Kluyveromyces lactis: one gene and its partner. The protein of the gene in region 1 purifies or fractionates together with the protein of each later gene. This does not show direct contact. Links are inferred from orthologs where the notes say so. Each region holds a gene or a part of one and is shown in the gene's direction. Other genes may lie near its edges.

Region 1 (3,670 bases):
GCGTGTTTGAGAGAATATCCCGAAGCAAGTTTTCCAAGTTTGAGAGTTTTGTTTTCAGTGGTCGAATTATGAGCGGGAAGATTTCCAGGTACGTTATTTTACCCTTAACGGGGTTCACATTGGGCTTCGGATATTTCGTTAAGCCATGGCATTTGGATGAATCAGCACTACAAACGTTACATAGACCGCTACAGGACCAACGGACCGATGTATTGGATAAACTTAGGGCCACAGAATGGGTCAAGAAACTTAAAGAGTCGTCTGATTATATGATGCATCGTCAATCGGAGAAGATCCCTGTACCTCATAGAGATTATCACGTAGGTCAAGGGTTGCTTTACGGACCAACTAAGCTTGAAATTGATCCGGTGGTGTTTACAGATAATGCACAGAACAAGATCCACGTCATATATCATTTGGGCCACAATTTAGGCAACGAAAAGAATGCAGTGCATAAAGGTGTACTTTCATTGCTATTAGACGAGGCTTTGTGTTTCTGCGGGTTCCCTACACTTCCCAGTAAGCGTGGAGTCACTGCATCTCTAGACATATCGTTCCAGAAGGATGTTCCAGTTAATTCCACCATTGTGCTCAACGCCCAGGTCATTGAAACCAAGGGAAGAAAATGTATCATTACAGGAACGTTGGAATCACCACCTCTTGATCCTTCTACGAAACTGGGATCCGTAAAGTCCTTAGTGGCTAAGAGCGTACCCAATTGGATATACAACCCTAAACCGACCGTCTACGCTACTGCAACGTGTATTTTGGTGGAACCTAAATGGTTTAAATACGTTTCATGGATTAACATATTCTGATCTAATACCACCTTAAGGTCTCCGTTATATATGCCAATAATATTATATTTAGTTCACATACTACAACATTCAATATTAAGTATACCATATGCTAGCATTGTACTGGTGCTCGGACATGATGAATACCAGTTAATTCATCATCCCATTCCCACTATTGTATTGTTTGGTCCGGGTAATAATAATACAGACTATTCATATCTGCTATTTTCTTTGACATCTTTAAATTGAAAGATCGAATTTCTAAACAGAAAAGGTTTTAACACAGGACAGAACGGTTATTCAAATTTTGGACCGTTAAGGAACGTAGTTTTTGGTCTTAGTTAAGTTTTTTACACTGCTGGTAACATCATAACAGGTGCAACAGACTACTGTACACACTTTGAGCGCGGGAGGGACACGCCGAACTTACAGAAGTATTTTTCGCAAGTTATTATTAAGGTGGTAAGAAAGCGTGTTATTAAGTACTCTGTTTTCTAAAATTGATACTTAAGAGTTTTTTCTTGCGATTGATCTAGCTTTTGAGATACGATCTGAATTTACCAGGATAATCTGCTACAGGAACGTGAATCTTTATTGCCGTATCTTAGCATCAACTTATTAACTTAACACAAGGGTGTTTTTTTTTCCGGAATTTCAGCATTTCATTATCATTACAAGAGGATTTATTTTAATTAAACCATGGCTAGCATTGACGAATCGGGAGAAGTGTACTGTGACAAGGAAGTCGTGACTAAAGTGTTTGCTAGACTGACAACCAAGTCTGAAAACAGGGCATGCTTCGACTGTGGCGCCAAAAATCCTACCTGGACTTCAGTTCCGTTCGGTGTTCTTCTTTGCATCGATTGTTCCGGTGAGCACAGAAATATGGGTACCCATATTACTTTTGTGAAGTCAAGTAATTTGGACAAATGGACTGTCAACAATTTGAGAAGGTTCAAACTTGGTGGTAACGATAAGGCAAAGGATTTTTTCTTAAAGAACAACGGCAAACAATATTTGGGTTCTTCTAGCAACCGGATGGCTAAATATACAAGCCAGGTAGCCAAGAAATGGCAGAGCCATTTGAATCAAAAAGTGGCTAGAGACGCTGAACAACATCCAGGTGAAATTGTATTTTCAGCAGAAGATGAACAAGAATTCACAGGGGGCAGTTCTGGTTCTTCAAAGAGCAACAGCGTTGATGATTTCTTCTCAAACTGGGAAAAGCCTGTAAACCAAAGTAACATATCTTTGACGTCATCTCCTAGAAATTTAACACCAACCAATACTGGCAATAGGAATGGTTCTTCTATTCTGTCCGGAAGTGGTTCTGCCAACAAAACCAGCAACGGTGCTAGATCCACTACAACTAAGAGAACTACTTTGACAGGATCAGCAGGCTCTTCTCAAGCAAAGAAACATTCCATCCTTTCCTCCTCTCGTAAGTCAAAGAAACCGGTTGCAGCCAAGAAGGTGGATGCTGATTTGTTTGATCAATTCGAAAAAGAAGCCAAGGAAGAGGAAGAATTGGCCTCAAGTCTCGCCACCACTTCCCTTAACTCCAATAATTTATCGAATTCCATATACGATGCCACTCCTGCGCCATTCCAACAAAAATCTGGTTTCAGCTCTAGCAGCAAAATAACCAAGCCATCTACCAATGTCGAAGACGCGGAGGACGACGAATGGTCCAACAGATACAATGATGGTATTACTTTCGATCAAATCAATGCTTCCAATGTAGGATTAACTGGAAGCAAAGATGCGGCAAAACCAAAGTTGGCTAAACTTGGGTTTGGTATGACTTCCAATAATGCAGAAAAGGAACAAAACAAAACTAACGAATCAAGGAGGGCTGCCTCTGGTCCAAAGTACACAGGTAAGATTGCCCAAAAATTCGGAGAACAAAAGGGTATCTCTTCAGACCAGGTGTTTTCTCGTGGAAGCTACGATGACGAGGCAAGTAAAGAAGCTCAAGAAAAACTCAGACAGAACTTCAGTAATGCCACATCTATTTCTTCAGCCTCATACTTTGGCGAAGGCCAGAGCGAAGATCAGTTCGACGAATTTGGAAGACCATTGAATCCACAAAATGGAACAAGAACAAACAGAAGCGGTTCTCTTGGCGGACGAAACTTCATGGAGTTCACGTCTGGTGCTGATGACGAATTTGACCTGTTGAAGAACGCTGTTGAACAAGGAGCGCAAAAGCTAGGAAACTACCTAAGAGATTACATGAGAAATTAATTCCTATGTTAGTTTATTGTAAGATAAAGTATAGTCATTCATCAAGGAGTTAACGTTAATAGTATCAGTGCCATAAGTTCCCCATAAGTTCCCTTCTATGAAAAAAAATCTGAACAAAACTTTATGGCTTTATTGTAATAGAAACAAATAAACAAATAGATGAAAGCTTGTCCTTAATAGGATACCCTTTTCAGTCACACATCTCTTCGTTGTACCATAATATGAATACCGCCATTATTTGGATAATAATAAATATAGGATCATTCCAAACACCCAGTGTGTAGTCAGAGTTTGAGATTTTTCAACACACCTACATTTTCCAAGGAATACCAAGTGTCTATTGTGCTTTACGTATTATTTAATGATTATTTAGTAGCTTGAGTAGCGAAATAAGGATTATGCAATCCAGTGATCATGACAATTATTGATTAAGTAGCATTTAGAAAGTTGATTTAAAGAATGATATGTTCTTGAAAGACAAGAAGATTAAGGTCGATTCGAAGTAAGATATTAACGCGTAGTCATGGGCCATAAACAAATCTTGTCATGTCGGAGGTATATCTCGTGTACAGTTCGAGAAGAAAGAGGTGAAGAAAGGAGTAAATGAAAGTCCTGCTGAACCGAAA
Region 2 (3,926 bases), on another chromosome or scaffold:
GAAAACAAATTCTGGCCATCAATAGTTGATGAACTAGAAAGATTACATTTACCTATTGATGCTAATTCATTGTTAGATATTACTTACGATTACAATTATGACAAGTTTAATGAGCATACGTGGTTTGAAGATTCAGTCATTTGGAAGAAGGGCAAATTACCTTATTTATCTTCCTTGGACAAGAATGGCCTAAATCCGGGAAGACAGCAACAAAGTCTTTTGGTAGGTAAACAATTGAAGCAAGAGCAGGGAGATGGGCCGGATCAGAGTCCTTCAAACAGGTTTATTCAAGACACTAATAAACCATCGGAAAAAAATCATGAAGAACAAGATTTGCTCCTACGAAACGCTCTGCAGTCACGCGATGCTACCACAAATGGGGGTTCCAGTCACAATAACAGAAATCCTATCAAAAGATTGCTTAATATGCTACATTAATCAGTAAAGGTTGCCCAGATGTTCACATCTACACTATACATGTATAGATATATAGACCTATGTATACCACTCTCGTATATGCTATCTCTTCTAGCATTCTCTTACGCATAGAATCTGTAGAGATGCGTCTGGCACAAATTCGGGTAATTATTACCCTACCATTACGTCCTTTGCATACTCTTCGGATTCTTCCAATTTTCAAAAAGGACAACTTTTCAAATAAAACACGATCTTATTTCAAAATAGTAAGCCATATGTGTATTTTAAGTAATTTTATGAACCTTGAATGAAGCTGACTTTGGCTAATAAACAACGATCAAGGTACTTTGTCGTCTAATTGAGTTGTCAGTGAGGACTAACCATCGAAGGAAAGCTTCAATCGTAACCAATTGGTATATTGTTAACTGCAATTGTGACGTTTTCTTCCGAGTTATTCTTCTTATATTTCTCACAGTTTTTACTCAGATTTAGATCGAAGTCTTGAAAAGCTTGCTTTCATCATGAAGATGTTAACTAAGTTCGAATCAAAGTCTACCAGGGCGAAAGGTATTGCTTTTCATCCGTCTAGGCCTTGGGTTCTGGTAGCACTTTTCTCATCAACCATCCAATTATGGGATTACCGTATGGGTGTTTTGCTTCACCGTTTTGAAGATCATGAGGGTCCGGTACGTGGCATTGATTTCCATCCAACGCAACCTCTTTTCGTTTCTGCAGGTGATGATTATACTATCAAAGTATGGTCTTTAGAGAGCAACAAGTGTCTATTCACATTGGACGGCCATTTAGACTATGTTCGTACAGTATTCTTCCATCACGAATTGCCATGGATTATTTCCAGTTCCGACGATCAAACCATCAGAATCTGGAACTGGCAGAACAGAAAGGAAATAGCATGTTTAACTGGCCATAACCACTTCGTAATGTGTGCCCAATTCCATCCAGTCGAAGATTTGGTGGTTTCTGCTTCTTTGGATGAAACCGTTAGAGTTTGGGATATTTCAGGGCTAAGAAAAAGACATTCCGCACCAGGCACTCAATCATTCGAAGAACAAATGAGACAGCAACAGAACTTACTTGACGGAGGATTTGGAGATTGTGTGGTGAAGTTCATTTTAGAAGGCCACACTAGAGGAGTAAATTGGGCTTCTTTCCATCCAACTTTACCATTGATCGTTTCCGGTTCTGATGATCGTCAAGTGAAATTGTGGAGAATGAGTGCCACAAAGGCATGGGAGGTCGATACTTGTAGAGGTCATACCAACAACGTTGATTCCGTCATTTTCCATCCTCAACAGAATCTCATTATATCAGTTGGTGAGGATAAAACCGTAAGAGTATGGGACTTGGACAAGCGTACTCCAATTAAACAGTTCAAAAGAGAAAATGACAGATTCTGGTTAGTGAGAGCTCACCCAAACCTAAATCTGTTCGGTGCTGCTCATGATTCTGGTATTATGATCTTTAAGTTGGACCGTGAAAGACCACCAACTGCTATAAACCAAAATCAGTTGTTCTTTATCAACAGGGAGAAACAAGTCCAAATGTTTGATTACCACAAGAGAATCACTTCTCTACCTTATCTTTCTTTGAAAAACATCGGCAAGACCTGGAGTTCATTTAGAAGTATGTCTTATAACCCATCCCAACATTCCGTCCTTGTCAACTCCTCCGAAAAGGAAGCCAACAGGTTCAGCTTATGTGTCTTACCTAAACAACCTAGTGGAGCTGTTGAAGCTAGCAACGTCATCTCTGATGATGGTAGTTTTGCGATCTTCGTTGCTCGTAACAGATTTGTGGTGCACAATGGCAGCACTAATAGCTTGGAGGTTCGTAGTTTAGATAACAAAACCACAAAGTCAATCAAATTAACTGATACTGTTAAAGACATCACATTAGCTGCTCCTGGTACTGTTTTGATTCTATATTCTCATTCTGTGGTAATGATGGACGTCCAACAAGGTAAAATTCTTCATGAATTATCTTTAAAGAACATCAAGTATACAGTGTGGTCTCAAGATGGCCAATATGTTGCATTGATGAGTAAGCATACATTGACAATCGCAAACAGAAAACTGGAAATCGTTACATCAAACCATGAAAGTATTAGAATCAAGAGTGCAAGTTGGGATGAAACCGGTGTCCTAATTTATTCAACATTGAACCATATCAAATACTGTCTATTGAATGGTGATTCTGGTATCATTAAAACCTTAGAAAGAACATTATACATCAACAAGGTACATGGCAAATTTGTCTATGCTTTGAATCGTGAAGGGGAAGTAGAGATTTTGACAATTGATCCTACTGAATATCGTTTCAAGAAGACTTTAGTCAACAAAAATTTCCCTGAGGTATTGCGTATCATTAAAAATTCAAATTTAGTTGGTCAAAACATCATATCTTATCTTCAAAAATCAGGCTATCCTGAAATTGCGTTACAATTCGTGGAGGATCCTCAAACAAGATTTGATTTGGCTACACAATACGGTAATTTGACAGTTGCTCTTGAAGAAGCTGAGAAATTGAACAATGAACTTGTATGGGAAAGATTGGGCAAAGAAGCTTTGATCCAAGGTAACACAGATATCGCTGAATTGGTATATCAAAACACTAAGCAGTTTGATAAACTGTCTTTCCTATATCTACTTAAGGGAGACAACTCCAAACTGGCAAAAATGGAGTCTATTGCTGAACATAGATCAGATATTTCCGGCTTGATTCAAAATACCTTTTACAATAACTCAGTTCAGAAGCGTGCAAATGTCTTTTTAAATGCAGGCTCTGCTCCTTTGGCTTATGCAGTGGCAAAAGCTAACGGCGACGATGACCTTGCCACTTCCATTTTGGAATCCGAAGAAATTGATGAGCAAGACATTTCCCTACCAACTGAACTCAACTCCTCCACAAATGTAAAAACCCCTGTCATTTCTGCTCCTTTGAAAAACTGGCCGTTAAAGCAAGCTGAAGTCTCATTCTTTGAAAAAGCCCTTTTGGGCCAAATCGAAGATCTTGAAATTTCTGATGATAAGGAAGAAAATGTTTCAGATACTACCCAAAATGTTGGCCAGTTTGATTTAGGAGAACAAGATAACCTAGACTTTGATGATGAAGCTGTTGGAGAGGAAGAAGATGCTTGGGACCTAGACCAAAATGATTTGGAATTAGACGACGAGTTAGAGATCGAAGAATCCGAAGTGACTGAAGAACAAGTAGATGAATCAGAATTGCCAATGTGGGTTAAAAATTCAAAGCTTCCAGCAGTTCTAGTAGCCGCTGGAGCCTTTGATGCTGCTGCCCAAGCCTTGAATAAGCAGGTAGCCGTTGTAAACTTCGAACCCCTCAGGACACCATTCATTGATATATACGATGGTGCAAGAACTTATATGAGTGCTACACCAAATGAATTACCTTCAATTATTGGATACATCCGAGCTGATGCCGATGAGGAGGACAAATCTAAAATACTACCATTTGTTCCTGGCGTTTCT

The links.
Region 2: the proteins of GLO3 (region 1) and COP1 purify together in Saccharomyces cerevisiae (affinity purification with mass spectrometry; 4 studies listed by BioGRID). This does not show direct contact. The link is inferred for Kluyveromyces lactis from reciprocal best matches to the Saccharomyces cerevisiae genes GLO3 and COP1.

The regions. Positions count from the first base shown.
Region 1 is NC_006041.1:616,635-620,304, forward strand, and holds GLO3 (ADP-ribosylation factor GTPase-activating protein), read left to right. Parts: upstream 1-1,496; coding exon 1,497-3,044; downstream 3,045-3,670. Other genes in the region: MRX3 (Mrx3p), read left to right, coding at 69-818. UniProt on the Saccharomyces cerevisiae protein: GTPase-activating protein for the ADP ribosylation factor (ARF) family. Involved in retrograde vesicular transport from the Golgi to the endoplasmic reticulum.
Region 2 is NC_006042.1:478,695-482,620, reverse strand, and holds the start of COP1 (coatomer subunit alpha), read left to right. Parts: upstream 1-938; coding exon 939-3,926. Other genes in the region: CRR1 (putative glycosylase), read left to right, coding at 1-438. UniProt on the Saccharomyces cerevisiae protein: The coatomer is a cytosolic protein complex that binds to dilysine motifs and reversibly associates with Golgi non-clathrin-coated vesicles, which further mediate biosynthetic protein transport from the ER, via the Golgi up to the trans Golgi network.